3 linked regions of the Arabidopsis thaliana genome follow. The protein of the gene in region 1 interacts with the protein of each later gene in a pairwise test. Each region holds a gene or a part of one and is shown on either strand. Other genes may lie near its edges. The genes, in order: APC2, TOC64-V and AT2G19080.

Region 1 (9,999 bases):
TGCAATATCTTATTTCTCAACCTTTTCCTTGAAAAACCTTTGCAAGGTGATCGGATAATTAATTAGGCTAGGTCAACATTCTACGTTTTTAAAAAATATTTTGCATCACGTCAATTCATATTTTATTGTCGATTTACTTTATAAAGTTCCTTTTTCTAAATAAAAATAAAATAAAGAGATGCTGACTTTTTAAATGGTCTTCGTAGTTTCCTATCTTATAGCTTGGGTTATATGGGCACATCACATGTAGATATAATATAGATCCAGCTCATCTAGGTGTACGAATATACTTGCAAGTGTTCACATGCCAAATTAATATGTTTCGTTAGGCATATGATTTTTCAATTCATTTACTTCTACTTAATCTTGGTTTTGATTGTTCACATGCCAAAATAATTTGTTTTGGATAAGCATATGATTATTCTATTCATTTATCCAATTTGAAACTGTTTTTGGTTTTATAGGTTTTATCTTTGGGTGCCATTAATAGTGTTAACTATCTAGCTAGCAATACAAAATGTAATCATTACTTATAGTTTGTACGTACCTAATATCTTATTTGGAGTCGCAAGAGATACTTAATTAACATGGCAATAACTAGAAAGATGGTATGTGTATATACGTAATTAAGAAATAGTCTTACATTATTTGATCCAACTAACGCTGCAAGATGTATCAGATTTTAAAAGATGTTAGTTAATAGTTAATATGACGAGTTATGTTTAGAACTTTTACTTATACCAAAATAGATGTTTAAATTTTTACTTAATATTTGGCTACAACCAAGATATTTTGTTATCTGAACAATTCCATCTACGTTTAGTCTCTTTCTTTTGCTTTGGCTAATGGCAATGACACTGATTCCACAGCTTCCCGAAAGTCTTGATTGATGGTCCATATGGTGCACCAGCACAAGACTACAAGAAGTACGAGGTGGTTCTACTAGTTGGTCTCGGGATTGGAGCCACACCAATGATCAGTATCGTCAAAGACATTGTTAATAACATCAAGGCCAAGGAACAAGCCCAACTAAACCGAATGGAGAATGGAACAAGCGAACCACAACGAAGTAAGAAAGAGAGTTTCAGGACCCGTAGAGCTTACTTCTATTGGGTTACGCGTGAGCAAGGCTCTTTCGATTGGTTCAAGAACATAATGAACGAAGTCGCGGAACGAGATGCCAACCGCGTCATCGAAATGCATAACTATTGTACAAGTGTCTATGAAGAAGGTGACGCTCGTTCCGCACTTATACATATGCTTCAATCACTAAACCATGCAAAGAACGGCGTCGACATTGTCTCTGGAACAAGAGTTATGTCCCATTTCGCTAAACCTAATTGGAGAAATGTTTACAAGCGTATAGCTATGGATCATCCTAACACCAAAGTTGGTAAGCTCACATCTCTCTTCTCTACTATGTTCGCGGTTATATAGAAATGAAAAGTGATTGGATTAAAGAATCTTGATTTTGTATGTGCAGGAGTGTTTTACTGTGGAGCACCAGCATTGACAAAGGAGCTAAGGCATCTAGCTTTAGATTTCACCCACAAAACAAGCACCAGATTCTCCTTCCACAAAGAGAATTTCTAAAGGACACACAGAGTTAAAAGGCCTAAACAAAAAAAATAAAAGAAAGAAGCATGAGTTATTATGTTTTTCGTAATTTTACTTCCCTTACTATTTTTTAAAACATTAATATTTGTATACATATATATATATATATATATACTCTCTTGACTGTAGATTTCTTTGTATGCTTTTTTTTATTGTATGATTAATTTGTTTTTTCTTTTGAGAAAAACGGTGCAAAAAGTAGCAAAGGTTGTAGGAGTGTTGGCTTAAGCTCAAAGACCTAATAAAAATTTTTGTTTTGTTATTTGTCATCTCTCACAGTCTCGAAATTTTAGAGTATCTCCATCCATAAAAAACCTAAATATTTTCTCAAACAAAAAACATTAAATTTTTATTTTAATGAAAAAATTAAACCAATTGAAAGAAGAGAAATGTCATAATTGCATGTAAATAGTATCTCATAGTTTCTTAAATGAGAAACTTAAGGGCATCTCCATCAAGGAAAAACCCAAAAAGTTTATCAAACAAAAAAAATATTAGTATTTTATTAAATTTTTATTATATGATTAAATTTTTATTTTCATGAAAAAATTGAACCAATTGAGAGGAGAGAAATATAATGATGGCTTGTAGAGAGTATCTCATAGTTTCTCACTTGAGAAACTTTCTACACTCTCTCTTTTCTTTTTATTATTTTAATTATTTTAATAATGAGAAACTTTGTTGAGATACTCTCAGTGGAAATGATCTTATAGATCTCTTTTACGTATTCAATTTGTACTTTAAATTAATTTGAGAATAGAAATATGTAGAGCTTGAAAACAAAAAAATAACAAAGAAGAACGATTTAGACCTTAAGCATTTTTTTATATTAGATAATATGATGTTCGTAGTCGTAGATGGTTACAGTAGTTTATTTGCATAATGTTATGAATACAATTGTTTTCTTTTAAAAACGTTACGATTTTTCTTTCCAAATTTACCATTAGCAAATTATTCAACGTTCCTTTCAGACTCTCGGCAATGCGGAGACGTCTAAATTATTTCATCTAAAAGTGAAAGAAATTGTCTAAAATTGAAAAAGAAAAAGCGTGAACGGCAGGATTCGAACCTGCGCGGGCAAAGCCCACATGATTTCTAGTCATGCCCGATAACCACTCCGGCACGTCCACTTGCTGATATGACAGCATACATACATTTATTAATACTACACCTTAGTTGAAATTATTTATTTTCCTTCACTCATATGCTCTGTTTTTACTATTGTGGTTCTCGCTCTGTTTATTATGGTGTTTGACCTTCGTATTGTCAAATAAATGATGTTGAGATCGGGGGAATAAACCTCACACATGTTTCAATTGGATCGGAATACAAATGAACTCAGATTCTAGAAAAATCCAAACACATTAAAAGATAAAGCCAAATAAAGATTAAAAACATAAAAGAAGATTTGAAGCAAAACATCATATAGCTTCATTTTCTGTCTCTTGTCTACCTCTCAGACTGTCAGACATACTCAACGTTCAACTTCATAACACCAGCTCTCATTATAAGGGCCGGGTCCATATGCACACAACATTGAACAAGCGTACATAACAGTTGGATAATACACAGCAGTGGCCTTAAATATTTAAAGTTTGGAGAAGCGAGAATCTTATTATAGTATTTATCTCATACAAATGATGTTTAGAAGAATTATGTATGTTAAAAATAACCTACTTTTATAGGTTCTCTTTTTATTATTCTCGTTCTTTTCGTCAATATCAAAATGAAGTGAAGCCACTAAATCAATCAAGTTCTAGACTCTTTTTCATTGCTTCGTAAACCATATATGTAATGCTTGCAGCAGGAACTACCTTTAGAAGGTTCGGTAGTAGCCCTTTGTAGAGTGCTCTGTAACCTTCTTCACTTATTGTTCTCCTGAATACTCCTGACATCGAGGTTCTTGCTCGTTCCGCTTGCATTCTGTGTGACAGTGAGATATATTTCATTTATGCATTTTATGATTGTGTATGGAGTTTGTGTGTTGAGGAAGACAGAGGGAGCAGGTGAAGCATATGGGCTATGGAATTACCTTGTTCTCACAACCTGCAAAGGATAGACACAGGTTGCTCCAAGAGCTCCTGAGATTGTTCCACATCCTAGTTGCACGAGCGGACCTGGTTCTGAAGACCAAACCCAAGCCAAGTTTTATGAGTCCTACATTCAAGCAGTATCAGACAGAATGGGAAACTATAGCAGTTAAGAGATTTACCAGCGTCTTGAAGAATATATGTCCTGGACAAGTCCTTTAATGTCTCATATGCAGCAAGGTCAATACCCGCGTAAGGAATAATCCCAAGAAGAGAAGGGAAAAGACCTTTGTAGAAGGCACGTGGACCCTCATGAACCAATATATCTTTGGTGAGCGTTCCAAGCCTGGGAACAGCAACACCTGCTTGGCTCGTGTAAGTCTGCAACCGAGTTTTCACAAGATCTAAAGGGTATATAGAGGCTTGAGCTACTGCACCAGCCATTCCTCCAGCAAAAAGTCTAACTGTTGTGCCTATATCCGCTTTGTCTTCACCCATGTTTTCACCGATAGCGTTTTTGAAAAGCTCATATGCATAGAACTTGATGGCACTCTCTGGTGCTACCTTCACAATATTCAACCCGTTACCTCGAAAAAAACCTCTAACTCCACCCTGCTTCCATATCAACTTTATGGCTTCTCGGATTCTAGCATCGGTTTTCTGAATTTGCAAAAGAACTTTTAAGCGATCTAGAGGTGCAGTAGCAGTCCTAGAAGCTGCACCAGCTATGCCACCTGTAACAGCACTATTATGTTGTCAGAAAACTTATAACCAAATCTTTTTACGTTGTTCGGAGAAAATAAGCTCCAAATAATTAAGGAAGTCCACCTGCGATGAAATAGTTACTCCTCTTTATATGTTTGCTGATGCCTTCTGGAATTACAGCTTGTTCTCCAATATCTACAAGACATACTCTTTCCCAGTGATGGTATATATTTTCAATGGTAGCTTCGTGAGGGTACAGCAAAAGAAAATCTCTCCATTCTTCAAACATAATGATTCCATCATTGTCCTTGTCAACATGTTCCACAAAACGAGCAAGCTCCTCATCTTTTATCTCAATCCCTGCAAAATAGAAACTGTTGTGGCTTATAGGACGAAAACAGAGCATAAACAAAAGTTGCAATTGACACTATTTCTACACATAGAACTCATATAAAATTTGAACATATGAATGAAAATTAACAAGCCTTATTCTTAAAATCAAAGAACTGAAAGGTATTAACTATGGTACACCAAATGAAACCAATACACATCCATAGGAAGTCTTCATACTTAAACTTCATAGATGTTTTAGATAATTATATACAGTCTCAAAGAACCAAAAAACAACAAACAAATTCGTCTATTATTTATTTAACCACTCAGATTCACAAGAGTCTCATCTTCACTAATGATCATACATATATAGCAAAAAGATTAGCACAATCTTATCAACCTACACTGCAAGTAAACGCCTAACTATCACTCTCATTCTCCACTTTCCAAGATTGCATCCCCAAAGATTGTACAAACTTCAAACTTCTCACCAAGTCACAATCTAAGACATTCCTGCTATAGACTTATAATGATCTAACAACAATATGATCTGCAAGTTTGATTCTTGACCAAAATAAGCTCAGAGCATGTAAATGAAACTATACCAGCTTTAACGAGTGAATCCCAAAGTCCCTCAGGAGAAATACAACCATTATGCTCAACATCAATAGCTTGAAAGATTCTATACAGCTCAAGCTCCTTATCATCCATATATCTACGAAACTCATGATAATCCACACGCCCATCTCTATTCGCATCACAAACCCTAAACAACTCCTTAGCGTATTTATACCCACTTGGGATTTGAAGCGCACATAACCCCTTCTCAATTTGAGCACAATCTAAGTAACCAACATTCTCAGAATCAAAGAAACTGAATAAGCTCCTGATTCGTAAATCTCGCTCTTCTCTTGTCTCACGGAGAGCTAAGAGAACATGATCAATTGAAACGGGTCCGGGTTTCTTAACCGGGTTGCAACAATTTTGTTTCGACGACTTCGTAGCTTCCATTTTCGTTGGTAAACCAACATGAGTCGTCGACATGATGATCAACAACAAATAGGAATAAAAATCAGAATTTGAGATTCTGGGTTTGTGATCATGTCATCCTCTTATTCAGATCTGCAATGAATCTCCAGAAACGGTCACCATTTAAAAACGCGTAACGTAGAGAGAATCTCAAACCCGTTATTCGAGTGAAGAAAGATGAATCTAATCGAATACAGAGATTGAAGAAAGAAAGGATCTAAATTTGAAGAAGAGATTGGGAAATTGTGCTGATGCAGGTGAAGAAGAAGAAGAAGAAGAAGAAGAAGAAGAAGAAGAAGAAGAAGAAGAAGAAGAAGAAGAAGGGGCCAATCTCTCCAATGGTGCGGAGTTGAGATTCTCATGGGATATTCTTCCATTTAAATTTATTATTATATGATTTCATAACTTTTTATTATAATACTTTTTATTTTTACTTAAAAAATCAAAAAACCTTTATTCGTATAACATATTTTATTATTTTCTGAAAGGTCTTTTTTGGTGATTGTTGACACTTGACAGGTCCAAAGAGACTAGATTTTTCTTGACACACCTCCCGGAGCATATGCGTAAATGTGCAATATCTCATGTTTAAAATAAAGGTTTTCTCAATGTGTAGTCAAAAGACTTTGATACGATATTACTTTTCATTTTTAACAAACTCTAAAACTTCACAATGGGTAAGTGTTGTTGTTGATATCGCCTCCTCCATACTTAGAAAGACCAAAAGAGAGCTTTTGATAGCTATTGAGGCACAAAATGATAATTATTTGATAAAAATGTTGGTTATAGCTGTAAAAGGGTAAGAGATCCCTTGGAGAAATAATATATTGGAAGGAAATAAAGTGAAAGAATGTAACTTCTAACAACAAAACCATACATAACTAAGATATGAGTTTGCATATTTCTACAACGAGATAGCTCTATAAACATCATATTCTAGTTATTTCAATTGCTCGATGTATGAGGATGTAAATCATTACTTACAGAAGAATGATTTATAGATTTATACACAAAGTTATCGTTGAAGAAAGAATGATGTAAATAAGTAAAAGAAGATGGTCCTAGAGCATCTTGTCATGGGCAATATGAAAACCCACATCTTCGTCAGGTATGTTGTGTTGTTCGAAGTTACATTTTTTTGCATCCTGATATATTATTTCTATACTAGCTTATGGATGTGTATTAGTTACATATTTAACACCCTCATTTCTGTGTATTTAATTTTCATATGAACTTTAACAAGCTTTTAAAAATGACCAAATTCAATCTTGGTTTGGTGACTGTGACAAATGTAAACCATAATATCTTTTGACAGATATCTTACCATCTTATCTCTTTAAATTTGGACAACATTTTATCCAAAACTAGGCAAAATCTAGTAACACCAAATATTAGCTTGGAAACTTCAACAAACAAGACACAACACTGTAATTATCTCAACGCCATGGACCTTCTTCACGGCCTGGTTCTTTATTAATACAATAGTAAAGTAATGGTTGCTACTACTTGGTATCTATTTTCATATCATAACTTATTTTCACTTTGATACTTTTTGAAAAGAGGAGTTTATGTTTACTGATTCCCTGAAATGGGAGCATCACGGCCTCTCTTGAAATCGTCCCATCCTCTGACCCAGGGCTGTCCAGCCGCTGCACGAGTCTCTGGCGCTGCATGCTTGTTCAGATTCTTCATGACTTTCTCGTGTAACGCCGAGAACACCTTTAACATCACAACAAGGATTGTTTTAATCACTGAAGTAAACAAAAGACGATATACTGTTTAAACGTAGACTCGATTAAGAGATTGTGATTACCGGATTTGAACTCACTGCTTCCGGAGGCTGTTCCTGTTCAGTTAGCCATTTCCAGAGATCAGGGTTTTCCTGCATAGAACAAAAAAAGATTGAATGCAATAATCTAACAAATTCCTGATTACACCTTTTGACGTCACTATGAACATAATAAAGTTTTCACCAACCAAATTACTTGTATGGATCATTTCGAGATTAGATCACATCACAGAAACAACCTCAATCTGGTTAAACAACTCCTCCATACAAGTAATTTGGTAGCTTCAGATTCTACCTAAACATGCAAATATTCATATACATAAAGATAATTTTTACTGATAAGAAGAGACAATGAAACATACCAAATTGAGGACATGAATTAGGGATTTAACACCATTTTCGTCCATGGAATTAACATTCTCCTCAACCCAATTCCCCAAAACAAGATCAAGTTCCAAAAACCCTCTTTGCTTGCTCCTATACAACAATCTATCACCAAAACCCTAACAATCAATCACCAACATTTGAAACAAATCGAATCCAAAATTATAACCATACCTGTTGATCGTTCTTCTCTTATTCTCTTCGTTAGAGAGATCAATATCGAAATTCTGGGCAGACGCAGTGTTCTCACAGAAGAATCTCGCCCCCAAATCAACTCCATTCCTAGAAAAAATATCAATCCCACAATTTTTTTTTCAGGCGTGTTCACGAATACACAGATCACTATTATTACGGTGGAGAGAAAGTTAAAGTACCGGAATATAATAGGATATGACCGGTTAGCGGCGGCAGGAATGATAGAGCTCCGGCCAACCACGGCGGTGGAGCGAATGATCCGGTGAACGTTGATCAGAGCTTTTCGGGTAGCCATTTTTTGTTTTGTTTTCTCTCTCTCTTTTCGGCAGGAAAGTGTTGTTCTGTAATGAAAGTGGGTACTTATGGACCCATTAATGGGCCTATACTTGTCGTGGCCTTCTCTTGATCACATATGATTATAACTAATTTTTATTCTTTTTGGCTTAGATATGTACAACAGTACAAATTGATATGACGAGCCGAAAGTAGACATAAAATCTTGAGGAATAGAGAACTACATATTCTTTTAGATGATTTGATTGTTGATTCAATATTATGCCAGAGTTAAAAACTGTAGTAGGATATTTAGTTTAATTGTTTTTTGTCAATTGTTTTTAGGGTTGACTAATTGCAACTAATAAAATTATATGTATTTTTGGATTTATTCTTAAAACTATGTTTCTAATTGAATCGATCAGTAAATAGACAATATTTTCTATTTATCCAGAATTTAACCAAACTTACTCGATTTTAACTATATTTTAATCTAATATTAATCCCAAAAATATGTGAAAGAAAAAATATCTTATCTTATCTATTCAAAATATATTTATTTACTTTTGATAAAAATAATAAATATAACATAATTTTACCTATAAAAAATAATATACCAAAAATAAATATACCACAATTAAAAAAAGTTTAGTTGATAAAAATAATTAGTATATGGAATTAATAGTGTTTGGCAAAAAAAGATATTAGAATTAAATATATAATAAATAAGAAAAATTAGAATAATTGTGGATATGACACATTGAAACTAATTAATTTCTTCATTATATATATCTAAACCAGAATAAGAACGTTATCTTAGCTGTTATATGAGAGATTGTGAGCCTTGAGCTATATACCGAAAATGTCCCAAATAAATTTTATCAAAATGTGAGAGGATGCAACGTGACATGCATGTGGTCATGTGGATCATAGATTCGTAGTGAGAGTGTGTAACACGAGAGACTCTTAAATAAGATTGTTTTCTCAATTTTAAACCGCCACAAAACCAAATGGTCGAATTATTATTTTTTTTTGTTAAGAAATGGTCGAATTATTAATAGGAACTAAAACAGAATGAACAAAACTTTGGTTCGTATTGAGAGCCCACACCCTAGCTAGGCCCCAGCTAATTTATGTTCCCATAACAGATGCTATAACTAAAAATAGGAATCAGATGAATTTGAAATGAGAGGCCACAAAAAAATTACGCAGAAAGTGGGGGATTGCACCTTTTGACCCACAAAAAGGATGAGAAAATTATGTGAGAGGGAGATGAGAACGACGACGAAGCTCTGTGTTCTTTCTTGCCTCCTCTTATCGTGAAAATAAACATACTTAGGATCGTAGAAGAGAGAAAATAAGAAGAAAGATGGTAGGAAGCAAAGAAAAATCGAAAGAGAAACGAGATAAGAGACTCCAAGAGATCTCCCTCCTTCGTACTATTCCCTATTCTGATCACCAGAGGTATCAATATTCCCATTCTAAATTTTTATGTCTTCATATCTATGAAATTTTGATTATAATAAATGTTTGTATATATCCCTTACTCAGTAGGAAGAATTACATTTAGGTCTAGTCAAAACATATAAACTAGTTTACTTGGTACAAGCTTATCGTCCACGAGATGCAATTATGAAATTCTGT
Region 2 (10,908 bases), about 18 Mb from region 1:
GCAGCTGGGATCTCCTTGAGCCCTTCTCTCTCTGAGGATCAGCGTTTCACCATAGTTGATTTTTGGCCAAAAAGTGCAAAGACAGACGCAGAAGTTGAGGTAATTTCACTGTACATATTTGGAAAAATTGATTGGTGATGTACCATTCTATTAAGATGGTTAAGTTTGTTTATCCATTTTCCAGTTTCCAAATAATTTTTGTGGTTAAGACTTTGAAGCAATTGCAAAATATTTCGTGCTATATTTTTAGCTGGGTGCTGGGGTTTAAAGTCCCTTATTGATGTTCATGCAGCAGTTTCATTTTGATGATCCTGCTTTCTCATTATTTTTATTAGTAATGCTTTTTCCGTTTTGCTGATTTCGCTCTCTGTTTTGGTTGTTTTGTTGTGGTGACTAATTTCTTTTTTATGTATCACTCTATTTGCAGGTCATGGTTATTGGGACATTTCTACTTAGTCCGCAAGAAGTAACTAAATATAATTGGTCATGCATGTTTGGTGAAGTGGAAGTTCCTGCTGAGATTTTAGTAGATGGTGTTCTTTGCTGTCATGCTCCACCGCATACAGCTGGTCACGTCCCCTTTTATGTTACATGTTCCAACAGATTTGCTTGCAGTGAAGTACGAGAATTTGATTTCCTTTCTGGTTCTACCCAAAAAATCAATGCTACAGATGTTTATGGTACCTATACAAATGAAGCATCACTTCAGTTGCGGTTTGAGAAGATGCTTGCTCACAGGGATTTTGTTCACGAACACCATATATTCGAAGATGTTGGGGACAAACGAAGACAAATCAGTAAAATTATGTTGCTAAAGGAGGAGAAAGAGTATCTCCTTCCAGGGACATATCAGAGAGACTCAACCAAACAAGAACCAAAAGGACAGCTTTTTAGGGAACTGTTTGAAGAAGAACTATATATATGGCTCATACATAAAGTGACTGAAGAGGGTAAAGGTCCAAACATATTGGATGAAGATGGACAGGGTATTTTACACTTTGTTGCAGCGCTTGGGTATGACTGGGCCATTAAACCGGTGTTAGCAGCAGGAGTTAACATTAACTTCCGTGATGCCAATGGCTGGTCTGCCCTTCATTGGGCTGCGTTTAGTGGCAGGTATGGACCTCTATCTCACATATCTTCAATTTCCTTTAATCATAATATTATTATTTGAGATTTTGCATTTCGTTTAAGATGCTCACATTGATGATGCTTTAACTCTATTATTTGGTCAACATTGCCATATCAAACTAACTCCTTTTCCTGTTAACTATAGGGAGGAAACTGTCGCTGTGCTTGTCTCTCTAGGTGCTGATGCTGGGGCATTAACGGATCCATCTCCAGAGCTTCCATTGGGTAAAACAGCAGCTGATTTGGCTTACGCAAATGGACACAGGGGAATTTCGGGATTTCTTGCAGAGTCTTCCTTAACTAGTTATCTTGAAAAGCTAACAGTGGACTCAAAGGAAAATAGCCCTGCCAACTCTTGTGGAGAAAAAGCTGTTCAAACAGTCTCTGAGCGAACCGCTGCTCCTATGACCTATGGCGATGTACCAGAGAAACTTTCCTTGAAGGATTCACTTACTGCTGTCCGTAATGCTACGCAAGCGGCTGATCGTCTCCATCAAGTATTCAGGATGCAATCATTCCAACGGAAACAGCTGTGTGATATTGGCGATGATGAAAAGATTGATATCTCCGACCAGTTAGCTGTTTCTTTTGCAGCTTCTAAAACTAAGAATCCAGGACAGGGTGATGTCTCTCTTAGTTGTGCTGCTACCCATATCCAGAAGAAATATCGTGGTTGGAAGAAGAGAAAAGAGTTTCTTTTAATCCGACAAAGAATCGTTAAAATTCAGGTTTGCCTTTCATTGAGTTTTTTTTTCTCCCCCTTATTTCTTTGCATAAGTCTTTTGTCTGGTTTCTCATTGCTGGAATCATATTACATTTACCTTTAGGCTCATGTGAGAGGACATCAGGTCCGGAAACAATACCGAACAGTCATCTGGTCTGTGGGATTACTCGAGAAAATCATTTTGCGTTGGAGACGCAAAGGTAATGGTTTGAGAGGGTTTAAACGCAATGCAGTCGCCAAAACCGTGGAACCGGAACCGCCTGTATCAGCTATATGTCCTAGGATCCCACAGGAAGATGAGTATGATTATCTTAAAGAGGGAAGAAAACAAACAGAGGAAAGGCTACAGAAGGCTCTGACTCGTGTTAAGTCGATGGTTCAATACCCAGAAGCACGGGATCAATACCGTAGACTCCTAACGGTTGTTGAGGGCTTCCGTGAAAATGAGGTACCCAAGACCCATAACATAATCAGTTAATCATATTTTGTTGAGCATTCTTGTGATAAATTGTTGTTGCAGGCTTCATCAAGTGCATCTATAAACAATAAAGAAGAAGAAGCAGTCAACTGTGAAGAAGACGATTTTATTGACATTGAGTCTCTTTTGAACGATGACACATTGATGATGTCTATTTCTCCTTGATTTTACTTTCTGACTCGTATTCATTTTTCCTTCTTTTACTTTCTAACTTTATTTCTTCTCTGTAAATACCATAGTTGATATTTACCGCTTAATTTATTACTTGGATTGAAATAGAATTATTCACTATTTTCTTTCGTCTTAACAATATATAACTTTTTTATTTGTTCATTTGGCTTTTCTCTGCTAATATTATATAGCCAAGTGTTGGATTACTCTGATTCATATTTGTATCCGTATTGAATATTCTTCTCTTTATTAGCTGTTTTCTGCAATTTATACATCATATTTGTTTTGGTCAAACTCATACATCAGTCATATTGTTATAGTTTAAATTTGAATGGTAGTATGATATTGAGCTAACTTTTAAAGGTTATAAATCCGGGTCGACATGCCATTTTATCTACCAAATTTGGATTGGTAAACCATTAAAGCTATAAAAAAAACTTAACTTGGATTTTCCTATAATCTGAAGATAAAATTGGATTGACGGGCAAGGCTACAGAAAATGGAAACTTAACAATAAATTATAGCAGTATATATTTTAATTTTTTCATTATTATATTGAGGTTTTTAGTGGCTTGACTAGCTTAAAATCTATTTTTCCACGAGTGGAAAAGTTCATTAAGAGAAGAAATGGCCAACAAAAGAAATTATAAACCTAAATCAATTTGTACAAGCTTATTAAAAAAAATTGAAACGAGTAATTCTAATAAATAAAGGAATTAAAATTAAAATTTCCATTTTTCTTAATTTAATTTTTTTTTTTAATTTCTTTATCGATTTCGTAAAGACAATTATTAATCAATCAAAAAGAGAAGATTCGCCTTGGGCAGACGGACTTGAGTTCACGGCTGGCCAAGTCATCACTCGTAATTAAAAGGGTTTAGACACAGTGCGCACGATAGCATCTGTGTTTGCTTCTTCCAAATCTCTCTCCTATTTTTCTTTCCCCTTTTCTCTCTTAAACCCTCCTAAAACCCTTGTCTCTCTCTCTCTCTCTCTCTCTTTCTCGTGAGATCGCGTTATGTCGAATACGCTTTCTTTGATTCAAAGCAATGCCTCGAATCCCAAAGTTTGGGTAGTGATCGGCGTGACGGTGGCCGGGATCGTGATTCTGGCGGAGACCCGGAAGCGGCGGATTAGAGCCCTTAGAGAAGAAGACTTTGGTGCTTTCTTAGATCGTTTCGAGCTTCTTCCTTTCCCTCCGCCTCCTCCTCCTGCTGCTAAACAATCTCTCTCTGGTCTTACCTTCTCCATCTCCGACGCGTATGTATCTCTCTCTCTCTCTCTCTCTCTCTCTCTCTTAAAAATCATAACCTATTTTCAAATTTGTTTTTTCCTGCTTTATATAATGATCTCGCTTATAAAGTTCAAAACTTTTGTTTGGTTTAATTGAGATTTTGACTTGCTTAGACGAAGTCATGTTGCAATGAAATGAATAAAGTTATATCGGGGTTAATGGTTTGACAGGTTCGATGTTAAGGATTATATCACAGGATTTGGTTGTCCACAATGGAAGAAGACTCATGAGGCTGCTGAGAAAACTGCTGTGGTTGTCACGACGCTCTTGAAAAATGGAGCTACTTGTGTTGGCAAGACTATAATGGATGAGCTGGGTTTTGGGTATCTCTCCACTCCTACCATTCTGCATATGAAATGACCTTTCGGTAGTTGGTTTGAAGAAAGTTTGTGTTTTGAATGTGATTTTACAGGATTATTGGAGAAAACAAGCACTATGGAACTCCTATTAATCCATTGATGCCAGATAATGTTCCTGGAGGATGTTCCAGTGGCTCAGCAGTTTCTGTTGGGGCTGAACTCGTTGACTTTTCACTTGGTATTGTTAATCTCTTCGTTTTCTCTTGGTAATGTGTTTCTTGGATTACGTTTGGTTCTTTATGCTAATCAAAAGATGCTTGATTTGCAGGGATTGATACCACTGGTGGTGTTAGAGTCCCAGCAGCCTTTTGTGGTATTCTTGGTTTTCGACCATCTCAGGGGACTGTTTCTTCAGTTGGAGTTTTGCCCAATTCTCAGAGCCTAGAGACTGTTGGTACGTTACATTCCCCTCCCTTTTAGTGTTTTTAGTGTAGTTTCAATGGTACATGCTACTCTAGGTGTTTGCCTTCCTGATTATTGAACTCATTGATTCGTTCTGTAGGATGGTTTGCCTCTGATCCATCCGTTTTGTGTCAAGTTGGACATGCCTTACTAAATCTGAGTGCAGTAACACATAGAAGGCAAAGATCTTTAATCTTTGCTGATGATTTATTCGAGCTCTCTGACATTCCTAAGCAAAAGTCGGTGCAAGTTGTCAGAAAGGCAATCGAGAATCTATCTGGCTGTAAGTTTGCAGCTGTATTGTTTCCTTCTCTTTGCCCTTCTCCAGATTCATATCTTATGTCTCTTGACCACTGGCTCATGCAGACAAGACTCCAAAACATGTTAACGTTGGCCAATATGTCGCTTCAAATGTACCAAGTCTTGCGGAATTCTGTGAGCAATCTGGGAAATCCCAAAATTCAGCATCAACTTTAAGGGCTCTTTCATCTGTGATGTTGGCTATACAAAGGTATTTAAGAAGCTCACACTTCTTGAAATTTTCACTGCATCAATACTTTTTTCTCTCTCTCGTTCCTTTTAAACGGGTGCAATAAAAGATTGTTGTTATTCCCTCTTTGCTGGAGGTTACTATTTTCTTCTTAAGTTGTATTATATGCAAATATCGAAGAAGAAAGGATTTTCTTTTTACCAGGCATGAGTTCAAAACAAATCATGAAGAATGGTGGCAAACATGCAAATCGTTTCTAGGGCCAAGATTTTCCAATGATGTTGTTACAGCTCTGAAGAGCAAAAACGAGAGCATTAAATCCCTCTACAGAGTGAAAAATGAGATGCGGGCCACCATTCAAAGCCTTTTAAAGGTAAACTCGATTTTTGGAAATTTAAAATTTTCACAGCCATTAGTGTCTTGAGGACATTTTGCCACCAAAACACTGAAGTCTGAAGAGATTGAATTATTAACTTTCATTTTTGCGGCTTCTTTTTAGTTCTATGGTATTATGATTAACCATAGATCGGTATCTTATTACTAGGAAGATGGAATTCTGGTAATCCCCACAGTTGCTGATCCCCCTCCAAGGCTTAACACAAAGAGAAATAAATCTTTGAATGAGTTTCTTGATCGTACTTATGCACTCTCCTGCATTGCAAGCATGTCTGGATGTTGTCAGGTATATTTCCATCTCCTCTTTCTCATTCAATGGTTGGGGAACATTCTTGTTGCCTTTTCCTTACTCTTCAGTCTTTAGTCATGACACAAATATATACATATTCTTCAGGTTACAATTCCTTTAGGGGAACATGGTGATCGTCCAATATCCGTGTCGCTTCTTACTTACTATGGAGGTGATAAGTTCCTTCTCGATACAACTCTCGATGTATATGCATCCCTTCAAGACCAAGCCAAACTTGCATCCAACTTAGCTCCAGTGTCTGACACCAATGGTAACATGGAGGCTTCTGAAGTTATGAAAGAAAAGGTAAAACTATCTCTTTGAGTTTGACAAATAGTATATTTGGTTCTGATCCATGATATGCTACTGGAGTTGGAATGTTCTCAAAGTTAACAGTGGATAAAATGTAATTCCAGGGCAATGCTGCATACAAGGGGAAACAATGGAATAAGGCGGTAAACTTTTATACAGAAGCTATAAAATTGAATGGAGCAAATGCTACTTATTATTGCAATAGAGCTGCAGCTTTCTTGGAACTTTGCTGGTAATTGTTCTCTTCATATCTTTCATTCTGATCTGAATATAATTTATTATGATTTTCTGATCTGAGAGTTTGTTTATAGCTTCCAACAAGCCGAACAAGATTGTACCAAGGCCATGTTGATCGATAAGAAGGTGAAAACTTGATTAGCTGCCTTATTTCTCCATCCCTCGTAGTTTGTTTTGTTACATTGTGTTTTTAACATGGTTTTGTGTTTAAGTACACTTGAGCTGGAACAAAACTATTCACTTTTTATTTATTTGATTTGCGGCGTAATACCTTTGTACTATGACTATCTAGTTTCATTATCACTCAGATCACTCACTATAGACACAATGACGCATTATTTGGAAGCTTTGATTCTTATAATAGTTATTTGTTTCTACAGAATGTGAAGGCATATTTGAGACGAGGGACTGCTAGAGAATCACTTGTACGGTACAAGGAAGCTGCTGCAGGTATGATGATTAAACTACTCTGAGATTGTAATTTTATCACATTGGAGAAACTTGTTAAAAGATAAAATTCATCTAGCTATCCAGATGAGTTACTCTCTCTAGTAGGGTATTGGAGCGTAACATTATGGTTGATCATCTCTGCAGATTTCAGGCACGCATTGGTCCTTGAACCACAGAACAAGACGGCAAAGGTTGCTGAGAAGAGACTCCGAAAACACATATGAGTTAAAAAGGATTATTACTCGATTTCTCTTGTTCACCAATCTATCTTTTCACTTATCTAAAACCCTAAAAAGGAAAGGTTTTGCTCCGGTTTCAACAGACTAATAATTTAGTGGTTTTGTGACATGTGTACAGATTGGGATGAAAACTTCTACCTCTAATTACTTGATCTGAAAAGTTTTATGGGGTCCTTTTAGCTTCTTTGTTTTCTTAACGGTCTTTTACGTAAATTACAATTTCCCCCAAGTCCAATACTGTAATTCCTTAAATTACACGGAGGGACCCATAAATGACACGTTTACAATCAATTTCTCGACAAATAACTGAATTCGTTGTTTGTTTTTTTCCTCTTCGTCATCGTCACGCCTCCGTATCTTCTCCTCTGTTTCATTTTTGAATTATTCGAATCAAAAATGTTTGATCATATGAAACTGCTGCGATGCTTCAGCTTCACGGCGTCGCGAGATTGGTTATTCCGGCAATCATTCGCAAACGCCGGTCTACGTTCCGTAACGACAGATCTCTCCCACGGCAATTCAATCGCATCAACAGCTATGCATTGTTGGATTCCTAAATCCCCGAATCGATCTAAACCTAATCTCCTCCTCCTCCACGGATTCGGCGCCAACGCAATGTGGCAATACGGAGAACATCTCCGAGCTTTCACCGGCCGATTCAACGTCTACGTTCCCGATCTCCTCTTCTTCGGGTTATCATCCACATCGGAACCAAACCGAACCGAATCTTTCCAGGCTCGGTGTCTGATGAGGTTAATGGAAGCGCACGGAGTCCAGAGGATGAACATCGTCGGGATTAGTTACGGTGGATTCGTTGGGTATAGTTTAGCGGCGCAGTTTCCGGAGAACGTTGAGAAGCTTGTGCTGTGCTGCGCAGGGGTTTGTTTGGAGGAGAAAGATATGGAGGACGGATTGTTTAAGGTGCCGAATCTAGAAGAAGCTACCGGAATTTTGATTCCTCAGACGCCGGAAAAGCTTAAGGAACTCATAAGATTCTCTTTCGTTAAACCAATCAAAGGTGTTCCTTCGTTTTTTCTCTGGGATTTTATCGATGTAAGTTTTTTCCTTTATAATAATGTCTTTGTTTGTTTGTTTGTTGATAAATGTTGGAGTTTTGAGAAATGTTGTTCAAAATGTTGAAAAGGTAATGTGTACGGAGTTTGTAGAGGAGAAGAGAGATTTGATCAAATCAATACTCAAAGATAGGAGACTTTCTGATCTTCCTAGGATCAAACAGGTACAAACCTTTATTCGGATTTTAATTTGCTTATGTAAATTTCGCAGTTCCTATAACATTGTGTGTATGTGTGTGTTTATTGGTTGAATTAGAAATCGTTGATCATATGGGGAGAAGAAGATCAAATATTTCCACTGGAACTAGGTTACAGATTAAAAAGGTAAACAACAACATGTATATTAACTATAGAGATTACCCTCTGTATTTTTTTATGTGTTTATAATAATTGTATGGTGAAACAGACATATAGGAGAGAGTGCAGAGATAGTGGTGATCAAGAAAGCAGGACATGCTGTGAATTTGGAGAAGTCCAAGGAATTTGTCAAGCATTTGAAATCTTTTCTCATTGACTCTTTGTGAATTACTTTTTCCTATAATATCAACCATTTTTATTTTTACACTATTCTTCAATATATAGGTGATCTTTCTTTCTTGTCTAAAAGCTTAAAACATCAACTGTCTATTAGGAAATTATGTTAGCTGTTAGATCACAAATACGATTATTTTATCCACGCCAGATAGAACTTGACAACTGCAGAGCCTGAGTTATACAATCTACAACAAAAATATCCAATAAGGCAATAACAATTAAAAGGCCTATTTTAGCTGGCCTTTGTTTTGATTGGTGGGCTTTGATAAAGGAAGTTAGAATATTGAAAACAAAAAAAAAAAATTGAGTTTAAATAAAATTATATACAGTTCTTTGCATGGTCCAATTTTATGTGGCTCCCCTATCGACTATCGTCTAAATTTGTTGTACAATGTGAAGGTCGAATTATATATATTGAGAAGATTCCAATAATATGGACTTCCGATACATGACAAGAGAACTGGGACCAATCTGTGTATATAAGAGAGATTGGTTTAGTCAACATGAGAAGTTGGTCGGTCGGTCGGTCGGTCGGTCGGCGGCAATACAAGGCTAACATATACACCTCACAATATTTTATTGATTAGTTAAGCCAAACTTATCCTTAACTTATAATGATTGAATCGTTAGGAATTTTATTTTGTTAAAAGAAGAGATGTATTTTACTAATTAATGTTGTGACTTACCTAATCTACTTAGTGGCACTTCTATTCTATACGAGCTGTGGATTATTGCCTTTTCTTATCAATTTTTGGCTCATCCGTTGGTGATATTATTATGTAACTAAGAAAATATATAGGGTTTAGTTGAAAGTGGTATATATTGGCTGCTTCTGCGGACTAATAATTATTGAAGCGTTTGATAAAAGTGCCGGCACTCGTCGAATGTAGACAAATACTTGGTGACGTTTTTACATTAATGTTCAAAGGACAACAAAATTCAATTCAAGACACTGACCTTTAATTTTCGGCCTTACCTATATACTTCGTTGATTATATATGCAGTAAACAACCATATGTTAGTCATTCGACGACTCATTTATTTGCAAAAGCAACAAATGATAAAATCGTAAATAAATTATTTTATTAATTATATGATTTTTTTTATAAGAATTTCAATTCTGCACGTAATAATATAGCATGTTAGTTTACAATATGTATCCCGTTGCTTGTTTAATTTACAGTTTACCATGACGTGTTTTTTTGTCAAATTATATCCCCATATATCCATCTAACAAAATGACTTTTAATTTGTATAGGACTTACTAGCAATGTTGGACTTACATTGCTTTCGCTAGTCTTTTTCAGCATCTCTAGTCAATAGAAAAGTTTAATTATTGTAGCTGTTGAACCAATGTCGTTATCAATTTATAAGTGTGGTGGTGGTCGTCAATTGCCATAATGGTCATTTCACTTAAACTATAATGATTTTGATTTTTGGTGTTTGTATTTTTTTTAACGTTTACATGTATTGAATTAAATATTTAAATTATAATATATAGGATTTTAGTTAAATTTATTCAATAATTCTTATAAGCAAACGGAAAACAAAAACACAATTTATTTATGTTGAGATATTCTTATTCATGTTTGAAAATTATTTTACCAAAAGAATGAAACTCGTACATATAAATTTTAACGTGAAACATATTTTCAAAGCCTTTCAACATAATTTGATCAAGACACTCAATCATGCTTTTATTCTTGTTTCAATTCGTAATCGTATATATATGCTCCAACTTTTACATTCTTTGACCAAGAATTAAAAAAGTTTAGAGGAAAAAGGAGAAAGAAAATGGTAGAAGTGGGCATGCATGCAACGTTTTGCCCATAATACTGTTACGTCTACCCTCAAAGTCAAAAGTTAAGATATGGAGGGGAATGGGTTTTTAGCCTTTTATACGACTTCGCTAGCTAACTTTAATTGACTTCGCCGACATACATATACATCATATATTCATATATATGGTCCCATTTCATAACTTCATACAAGTAGTTATACATTCAATCATATATTAACTGTTAAGTATATATAACACACTAATTATATATACTTAAAACAATTTGAAAAATATATTTTGTACGTTTACCCGATTATATCGAACATTAGACATCATTTGGTTATTTTATTTATGCGACTAGGTCTTCATATATAATGCTTAGAAATTAGAATAACGTTATGTTTTGGTTTCTGTATTAGTTTTTAATTATTTTAAAAATTAAGTCCAATGTTCTCGATGAATTCTATTTTTGTACGCTTCCAATTAGATAGCAACTACAATTAATGGGTTAGTAGGTTAGGTCATATGTAGCTTCCGATTGATTTTTGT
Region 3 (9,291 bases), on another chromosome or scaffold:
AATCAAGTAGAAAACGTCATAGCTACATCAAAGGCGAACCGCAAGGAGAAAGCAGATGATGTGGTTTGGCGAGGAAGAAATGACATTTATAAACCACAGTTCTCTACACGAGATACTTGGAACAATATTCGAACCACTGCGACCAAGGTTACATGGTACAAAGGAGTATGGTTTTATCAAGCGACTCCAAAATTTTCTTTCTGTGTTTGGCTTGCAGCTTTGGATCGCCTCTCTACGGGAGATCGAATGGCTAATTGGAAAGGGGTTTCTTCAGGATCATGTGTCTTCTGCAATCATCCCACAAAATCTCGTGATCACCTCTTTTTTAACTGCCCCTATTCTTCTGAAGTCTGGACAGTCACAGCAAAGAACATTCTAACGACGCGTTTCACAACGGATTGGCACCTCCTCCTTAACACGGTTTCTAGTTTACAGCAAAATCGAGTTGAAAACTTTCTTGTGCGTTATGCCTTTCAAGCTTCGGTTTACTCAATCTGGAGCGAACGCAACAGAAGACGACATGGGAACACTCTGCATTCAGCAACTCGGCTAATTGGTTGGATCGACAAACAAGTGAGAAACATTCTTTCATCAATTCGAATAAAGGGAGATAGACACTACGATGCGGGACTCCAAATGTGGTTTGATACAAGAGCCTAATCACTTCTAGTTTCTAAATTTTCATTTCAATTCTAAACTTTCAGCTTCATTTCAAACAAGTTGCACATGTTGTAAAAAAAGATAATTTTTCTTTTGAATATAATTTAACATTATATTAAAAAAAAATAAAAAAAATTCAATCATTCTAAATGTAATAAATTACAGTTTCAAGAAACTACGTTACGGGCTAAGTCTGCAATTTAACTTTACGACAATTATGTCCATTGTGCTAGATATGACTGTAAATGCTTGGCCCAATAAAATAGATTGCGGAGAAATTCTAGTTCTCAATATTAATGGCAGTTTTGTGGTTACGTGAAATTCCCAGGGACAAAAAAAAGAAGAAGTACGTATCAGGTATCGAGGCATTTTCATGATATCTTTTACAAATGTGGGTCCAGATCCTGCCTTTTACTTTACAGGCCGGTCCTTTCTTTTTGTTGCTTTTCCTAAATTCGTCCAACGTATTTTCCCACTGGCGACGCTTATTAAGTTACTAAATTGCCCATGCTTAACTACTCATATAGATTCTCCGAATTGATTCCATTTTACACAAAACAATCCACCATGCAAATGTAATTTATATAACTCGACAAAAATATAGATTAGTAAAACTAAAAAAAAAACTTATGTAATTTAGAAGTTACCAAGTAAATCACTATCGGTAATATGATATACTCCCTTTATTTATTTTTGTTTGATTTTCTAGAAAAAATTATTATTCTAAAAAATTGATTTTTTAGATTTTCAATGCAATTCTTATTAATTATAATTGATAAATTGTAAATTTTAATAAAAATTATTAAATACTATTAGTTTAGAGTTATTAAAAATTGTAAATCACAAAGTATAATACATTTAAAATCAATATTTAATATGTTTTCTTAATATTTGTATATTTTCTAGAAAAAGAAAAGAAAACAGAGAGTATAATTTAGTTGTTTACACTATTTGCATCGTTATGTCATTATATTAATATTCATGTTATTATAAGATTGAAATTAATATCAGTATAACAATTGAGGTATGAAAATAAATGTAATGTAAACATCAATAGACTATGCCATATATAAACTCATAAACATAAAACTTAGTACAGAAAAAAGACAAGAAATATTCAGAGTGGCAAAATCGAAAATAAACATGAAAAGCGAGGATAGAAACAAAATAAGCTTCGTGTCCCGTCTTTCTCTTAGCCAATATATATTCTTCGTAGCTTTATTAAAATTTAGTTTAGCTCTACCATTCACTTTATTTATTAATTAATCATCTCTTTTAATTTCGATCAATACACACGATTTTAGTTCTATCAAATGTTTTTTTTTGGTTTTGTTTTATGTAGCCTCTGTCTTCTTCTTCTTCAACTTCTTGATTGCGAGTGAGTCTTGACTTCTTTCTTTCATTCTCTCTCCTTCAAAATCCGACAGTAATTTTGACCGTTGTTTTCTCCAACGTCTCTCTCTCTCTCTACTGTGTATCCCTCACGCTCCTCCAGTCTCTTTTCTTTTGACTCATTATTAGGTTTTTTCTTCTTCTTCTTTGTCTTCTCTCTCTCTTTCTTCAATAACTTCTTTTCTGGCTTTGCTCTTTACTTTCCTTTTGACATTTTCACAACACCAAATCCAAGATTTTACACCATTTCTCATCTGGGTTTCTGTTATTTCTGAGTACAATCTCACCCTTTAATAGAAAACAAGCAAAATCTCTTCAAGGGTTTTAAGGACTAAAGAGCTTTGTCTTGTATATTAAGCAAAGAATCTTCTTATTGTCTTTTTCTCAGTTAATGCGAGTTCAGACATAGTTATTATGTCTTTGTTTTGTTCTGTTCTCAGTTGTTTCATAGCTTTTGTATGAGTGTCTTGAGCTCTGGATTTGAGCTTAGGAAAGAAGAGTAGAGAGAAATGGGATGTTCTCATTCCAAGTTAGATGATGAAGAAGCAGTTCAGATCTGTAAAGACAGGAAACGTTTCATCAAACAAGCTATTGAACATAGAACTAAGTTTGCTTCTGGTCACATTGCTTATATTCACTCTCTTAGAAAAGTCTCTGATGCTCTCCATGACTTTATCCTCCAAGGAGACAACAACAATGAGTTTGTTCCTACTCTCTGTCAAGACTCATTCGTCACTCCGGTCAAGAGAATGCCACAGAGACGTCGTCGAAGCAGCCGTAGTAATAGCGGTGAGTTCATCTCCATTTCGCCTTCTTCGATTCCTCCGAAAATGATTCAAGGTAGGCCAAGATCGAATGTGAAAGCGAATTATTTGATGGCTAATAGAAGTAGACCGGTTAGAGTCGAACAGAGATCTCCTGAAACGTTTAGAGTTGAGACATTTTCTCCACCTAGTAGTAGTAACCAATATGGTGAATCAGATGGTTTCTTTGGAATGAATATGAATATGAATACTTCTGCGTCTACTTCATCTTCGTTTTGGAATCCGTTGAGCTCTCCTGAGCAAAGGTTAAGTAGTCATAACATTCCTCCTCCTTCACCGCAGAATTCGCAGTGGGATTTCTTCTGGAATCCGTTTTCTTCGTTGGATTATTATGGATACAATAGTTATGACCGAGGAAGTGTTGATAGTAGGAGTGGTATAGATGATGAGATTAGAGGATTGAGACGTGTTAGAGAGGAAGAAGGGATTCCTGATTTGGAAGAAGATGATGAACCTCATAAACCTGAACCTGTCGTCAATGTGCGGTTTCAGAATCATAATCCGAATCCGAAAGCAACGGAAGAGAATAGAGGTAAAGTTGATAAGAGTTGTTGCAATGAGGAAGTTAAAGTTGAAGATGTTGATGAGGATGAAGACGAGGATGGAGATGAGGATGATGATGAGTTTACGGATAGCGGGTGTGAGACTGAGAATGAGGGAGACGAGAAATGCGTTGCTCCTCCAACGCAAGAACAGCGAAAAGCTGAGGTGTGTAGAGGAGGAGAAGCTACAGGGAATGTTGTTGGAGTAGGTAAGGTTCAAGAGATGAAGAATGTTGTTGGTGTTAGAGATGATGCAAAGACGACGGGGTTCACGGTATATGTGAACCGGAGACCAACTAGCATGGCTGAAGTAATCAAAGATCTTGAAGATCAGTTCACAACAATTTGTGATGCGGCTAAGGAAGTCTCGGGGCTATTGGAAGCTGGTAGAGCTCAATACACATCATCCTTTAATGACCATAGTGGTGAGTTTATGAACAATGTTGCAATATTTCTCTGTTTAATGACTTCACTTATAAATATGAAGTCCTTTTTTATGTGTGTTTGTAGCCAGGAAAATGCTGAATCCAGTAGCGTTGTTCCGCTCGGGTTCATCAAGATCTTCCTCGTCAAGATTCTTGATCACTTCTTCTGGTGGTTCAAGAGAGAGCGGGTCTGAAAGCAGAAGCGATGTTTCAGATGAATCTTGCATGATTTCAGGTAGCCACCAAACAACATTGGACAGACTTTTCGCGTGGGAGAAGAAACTCTATGATGAAGTTAGGGTAAGTAACAAGAGATATAAGCAACTAGTGACTACATATTAATCTCTGTTGGTTATAACTGAGCCGTCTTTGTGGTGTTGTAACAGTCTGGAGAACGTGTTCGAAGAGCATATGAAAAGAAATGTATGCAGCTGAGGAATCAGGACGTGAAAGGAGATGATCCGCTTGCGGTTGATAAAACTAGGGCTACTATCAGAGATCTAGATACACAGATCAAGGTGTCAATACACTCCATTGAATCCATCTCCAAAAGAATCGAGACTCTTCGTGACCAAGAACTGTTGCCTCAGCTTCTTGAGCTCGTTGAAGGGTAACAACACCAACAACTTCTTTTTCCTTCTCTTCGGTTTCACTTTTAAGCCTCAGACTGACAAATGGTAATCATGATCATAACAGATTAACAAGGATGTGGAAAGTAATGGCGGAAAGTCACCAGATACAGAAACGAACACTAGACGAAGCCAAACTGTTACTTGCAGGCACACCGGTTTCAAAGCGTCACAAGAAGAGACAACCTCCAATAATGCCAGAGGCTATTAACTCTCAAAGATTAGCTCAATCTGCTTTGAATCTTGAAGCTCAGCTTCGAAACTGGAGAACCTGTTTTGAATTCTGGATCACCTCTCAGAGATCCTACATGAAAGCATTATCTGGTTGGCTTCTAAGATGTTTCAGATGTGATCCTGACCCCGAAAAAGTTAGATTATCCTCATGTCTTCACCCGATATACCGAGTCTGCATTCAATGGTCAAGGTTGCTTAACAGCTTGAATGAAAAACCAGTTTTGGACAAACTTGAGTTCTTTGCCTCAGGGATGGGTTCAATATATGCAAGGCAAGTTAGGGAAGATCCAAACTGGAGTGGAAGCGGGTCAAGGAGATACTCCGGGTCAGAAAGCATGGAGCTTGTAGTGGCTGATAAGGGAGAAGAAGATGTTGTGATGACTGCTGAGAAACTTGCAGAGGTTGCTGTGAAGGTTCTCTGCCATGGAATGTCTGTTGCAGTTAGTTCACTAGCTGAGTTTTCCATCAACTCGGCCGATGAACACTCGAAGCTTGTTAGCCAACCAGCAGACGATGCGTCGGAGCAGCAGCCCCCGGATGTAAATTTCAATTCCTAGTACTTGTTATTAATTTTGTTTGGTTTTAGAGAGTTTAGAATTAGGTAGGTTTTTGGCATCATCTTTTGCTATCAGAAGATAGTTTCTTAGATGGATGAGATTTGTATTATTTAGTAAGACAAATAGAGTTAGTTCAGTTGATTCTGAGGATGTGTACCAAGAGTCTTCTAATGTTCCTCGGTATTTTATCCGGTGAATCGGTTCCCATGATGTGCCTTAAAAACCAATGAAATTTATATAAAAGCCAAAAGCTCTCCTTCAGAACGAAAAGTCGAAAACCATTATAATGTGACTAAATCTCACATCTGTATCCTCTCCATAACTAAGAGTTCAAGAAGAAAAAAGCGTAGAGATTACTGGTTATGTTTTTATCTTAGTCTCAGAGAGTTCGCCTGAGAGTTACCGGTCCATTTAATAAGAAAAGCTTTAGTTTAGTCATCTTCATCTTCATACTCCAGTTCATCAGAACTACCTCCTCCCATCACTGATACGTAAATGACGACAGCTAGAAACTGAGCAGCTAGAAAGAACCTTGCTCTTTTCTTAAATTTTTTCTCCTCTTCGGTCTTTTCTACCTTTGGTTTGCTCTTTGGCTTCGAACCTGAACAAAAGATGAAATTCACTTCCTTCACAGGCTTAAACATATCCAATGAATGTTGCATATATGACAGATATATAATATGATGAAATATATATGATATGGACGTTGAAGGTTAGATGTGTCTTACTCTTTCTTGGAAATGAGGAAGGGAATGAGTGAAGTGGAGGTGAAGGAGATGAAGAAGAGGCTTCAAGGAACTCTGACTTAAGTTTCTCAGCATATCGCACAAGATTACTATGTTCCAGAAGTTTGCACCGAAGCACTGATGTAACCTGATCATGCACCATTAAGAAAACTACTTCATCTAAATAGTTCTAAGGCTAAATTCAACCTGATAAACCCATAACTGAGAAATATATTGGTGAAATTTAAAGCTGCTCACTGGTAACGCTTGGATTATAAAAAGTATGTGCGAGAGTAAGAAAGCATCCAAACTCGATGGCCTGTGGGAAGAGAATAATATAAACATTGTCAATCTTTTACAAAAAGGCTTAAGGGAAAGAATCCAGTTCCGGAATGTGATTGCAATACCTGTCTTCAAAGAGAAACTTCTGCTCACCTAACCTAGTCGACAAAGCTTCATATGCCTCACTTGCTCTCTTGTATATCTGTTCACATTTAAGACTATGAACTTTAATAACTAGTTCAAATGCTCACAAATATAAACCACAGGTCTTCTAAAGTAACAACAAAACTTAAACAAACCCGACCTGTTTTTCTCTTTGCTCTGCGTTCTCTTTGGTGATTCCTAAACGGTTCTTTGCCAAGTATGTCTGCTTATAAAACAGGACCTTGCTGATCACCCAAGGAAGATCTGAATAGTAGATTTTCGATGTAGATATCCCCTCGGTACCAACCCATATCTCATAGGTAAGCGCTTCTTCTAGCCAAGACACAATAAGAGCCTTCAAAGATAAATAATCCGAAAGAGACTGTAGCTGAGAGTCCAGATTAACAATCCCATCTTTCTTCAGTTTTTCAATTACTCCTCCATCTTCATTGTTATATGCAACATATGTATCACTTTCAAAGTACGGCAGTTCATCTATATTAAAAACAAATGATTAACATTGTCAATACACAAGCTTATAAATATTGAATGCACAAATTTGTAAATCCGTGAACAAAGGATTACGAAGTGTCTAGAGATATTATCAAACATAACATAGAAATTCTGAAGATATTGTTAATATACAAACTCAATAGCTAAATCAAACAACTAATTTCTTCTGAACAAGTATGAAACATCATCATTCTCTTCGAATTAACAATTACGATAACGAGGAATTCAACCAAAGCTATAACAAGAAATTATGATGAACACTTCCTATCCAGAAAAATTCACCAATGCATATATACACCTCAAAATTGAATTACTATTGCCTAAAAACCCTATCTAAACTCTGATTAACCTAAGAGCAGGATCTTAATAGTACGAATTCGAATCCAGAACTCAAAATTATCTTGTCTAGGATTCGAATCTCAATTCAAGCTAATAGAATTAACAATGTTCACTTCCAACAGATACACATCACGCAACCAAAACCTTAATCTAACAACAACCAAAATACGAAGCGAGGAATCAAAACAGAAGCAAACCTGAATCAGGGAAGGTTGAATTGAACGCAAGTTCAAAAGGTAGCTGGGCTAATTTCAGGTATATATAAGCAGGAAGACAATTAGGGCAAGCTGTTGGGAGATCGAAGGAAGGCTTCCTTGCCACCAAAGTATAAACATTCGTCTCTTGATCGCCTTCCATTATAGTGACTCGTATGTGTGAGAGCTCTGGTCAAAAGAAGAAGAAGTACTCAAGTAAGTTCGATCGTCGATAGAGAGAGATGGGGCGAGAAGAGAAGATCCAGTCGAGTCCGGGTCTGGGTTAAGGTTTAGTCGGTCGGGTTTAAAACTAGGGTTTATTAATACGATAACTCATTTTGGGCTTTAAAAGGCCCACAAATTACCCATTAAGACAAAACTACTGGAGGAGGAGACTCGGAGAAAGTGGAATTGTTTTCTCCTTTTTGTTAGTTTGTAAAAACTAAAATTACTGTGTAACAGTGTAAAATACATCATCCACATTTTTTTTCTTCAAGATGACTTTATAAAAATAAACTCAACTTAAATTCAGAAGATATAATCAAAACTGGCGATGTGGGCTTTTGAATTTAATGCTATGAAGTTAGTATTTTGGATTTACCATTTCTTTTTAGAGTTTATGATATATACTTAAGGATTTAGTTTAGAATTTATACTTTGGAATATACTTGCATAAAAAAGTATAACACATTCCCTAATAGTGATATGAATTTTATGTTATATGTTCTTACCTCGTTTTTTTTCATTTTTTCGTGGAAATATATATTCATCCACAATGTGAACAAAATAGAGAAGAAGGGTAATACGCGTGATCATATACAACCAACAAAACTAAACCTTATTCTCACTTCCACTAATTAAGCTGCTTCGAAGGAAACAAACTAAACCACGAGAAAAACATTTTTGAATTTTGACTAACAGCAAGAAAAATTCGTTGAATCCATATGATTCTGTGTACTATATAAACATTACTTTAGCACGAACTTCAAAAAGAGAAGAGAAAAAGAAAGGGGGTTTGTGTTATGGCTCCCATAACTTTTAGAAAATCTTACACTATAGTACCGGCCGAACCAACGTGGAGCGGTAGGTTTCCCTTAGCCGAGTGGGATCAAGTTGGTACAATTACTCACATTCCCACCCTTTACTTTTACGACAAGCCATCTGAATCTTTCCAAGGCAATGTAGTCGAAATCCTAAAAACCTCGTTGAGCCGTGTGCTAGTCCATTTTTACCCTATGGCTGGCCGTCTCAGATGGCTCCCTCGGGGACGGTTCGAGCTCAATTGTAACGCCGAGGGAGTGGAATTCATTGAAGCGGAATCTGAGGGGAAGCTTTCGGATTTCAAAGACTTCTCTCCTACGCCGGAATTCGAGAATCTTATGCCGCAAGTAAACTATAAAAACCCTATCGAAACGATTCCTCTATTTTTAGCTCAGGTAACCAAATTCAAATGCGGTGGAATAAGCCTTAGCGTCAACGTTTCCCACGCGATCGTAGATGGCCAAAGCGCGCTTCACTTAATATCGGAATGGGGAAGACTCGCGCGCGGTGAACCGTTAGAAACCGTTCCATTTCTAGACCGGAAAATCCTCTGGGCTGGTGAACCGCTCCCACCGTTTGTGTCGCCCCCAAAGTTCGACCACAAAGAGTTTGATCAGCCACCGTTTTTGATCGGAGAAACGGACAATGTAGAAGAGAGAAAGAAGAAAACGATTGTGGTGATGCTACCACTGAGCACATCTCAGCTGCAGAAGCTACGAAGTAAAGCCAACGGAAGCAAACACTCTGACCCGGCGAAAGGGTTTACAAGGTACGAGACCGTCACCGGACA

The links.
Region 2: the proteins of APC2 (region 1) and TOC64-V interact in a two-hybrid assay, tested with the Arabidopsis thaliana proteins (one study listed by BioGRID).
Region 3: the proteins of APC2 (region 1) and AT2G19080 interact in a two-hybrid assay, tested with the Arabidopsis thaliana proteins (one study listed by BioGRID).

Annotation. Positions count from the first base shown.
Region 1 is NC_003076.8:20,749,078-20,759,076, reverse strand, and holds APC2 (Mitochondrial substrate carrier family protein), read right to left. Parts: upstream 6,038-9,999; 5' UTR 5,730-6,037; coding exon 5,291-5,729; intron 4,713-5,290; coding exon 4,476-4,712; intron 4,382-4,475; coding exon 3,830-4,381; intron 3,741-3,829; coding exon 3,650-3,740; intron 3,541-3,649; coding exon 3,363-3,540; 3' UTR 2,940-3,362; downstream 1-2,939. Other genes in the region: RHD2 (NADPH/respiratory burst oxidase protein D), read left to right, coding at 870-1,393, 1,484-1,593; SDHAF2 (succinate dehydrogenase assembly factor), read right to left, coding at 7,287-7,433, 7,528-7,596, 7,772-7,798, 7,866-7,992, 8,062-8,169, 8,262-8,377; AT5G51030 (NAD(P)-binding Rossmann-fold superfamily protein), read left to right, coding at 9,725-9,819. UniProt on the Arabidopsis thaliana protein: Calcium-dependent mitochondrial carrier protein that catalyzes the import of ATP co-transported with metal divalent cations across the mitochondrial inner membrane in exchange for phosphate (Pi).
Region 2 is NC_003076.8:2,924,794-2,935,701, forward strand, and holds TOC64-V (translocon at the outer membrane of chloroplasts 64-V), read left to right. Parts: upstream 1-3,379; 5' UTR 3,380-3,522; coding exon 3,523-3,764; intron 3,765-3,968; coding exon 3,969-4,121; intron 4,122-4,210; coding exon 4,211-4,335; intron 4,336-4,425; coding exon 4,426-4,551; intron 4,552-4,659; coding exon 4,660-4,842; intron 4,843-4,925; coding exon 4,926-5,070; intron 5,071-5,253; coding exon 5,254-5,422; intron 5,423-5,593; coding exon 5,594-5,731; intron 5,732-5,839; coding exon 5,840-6,040; intron 6,041-6,150; coding exon 6,151-6,278; intron 6,279-6,357; coding exon 6,358-6,409; intron 6,410-6,663; coding exon 6,664-6,733; intron 6,734-6,877; coding exon 6,878-6,957; 3' UTR 6,958-7,228; downstream 7,229-10,908. Other genes in the region: EICBP.B (ethylene induced calmodulin binding protein), read left to right, coding at 1-99, 428-1,116, 1,277-1,859, 1,959-2,303, 2,376-2,498; AT5G09430 (alpha/beta-Hydrolases superfamily protein), read left to right, coding at 7,369-8,025, 8,117-8,209, 8,302-8,369, 8,452-8,569. UniProt on the Arabidopsis thaliana protein: Chaperone receptor mediating Hsp90-dependent protein targeting to mitochondria.
Region 3 is NC_003071.7:8,261,150-8,270,440, reverse strand, and holds AT2G19080 (metaxin-like protein), read right to left. Parts: upstream 7,742-9,291; 5' UTR 7,624-7,741; coding exon 7,464-7,623; intron 6,910-7,463; coding exon 6,575-6,909; intron 6,473-6,574; coding exon 6,396-6,472; intron 6,308-6,395; coding exon 6,247-6,307; coding exon of another isoform or gene 6,169-6,246; exon of another isoform or gene 6,137-6,168; coding exon 5,992-6,136; intron 5,865-5,991; coding exon 5,695-5,864; 3' UTR 5,303-5,694; downstream 1-5,302. Other genes in the region: AT2G19090 (DUF630 family protein (DUF630 and DUF632)), read left to right, coding at 2,562-3,843, 3,929-4,143, 4,230-4,453, 4,540-5,263; SHT (spermidine hydroxycinnamoyl transferase), read left to right, coding at 8,483-9,291. UniProt on the Arabidopsis thaliana protein: Involved in transport of proteins into the mitochondrion.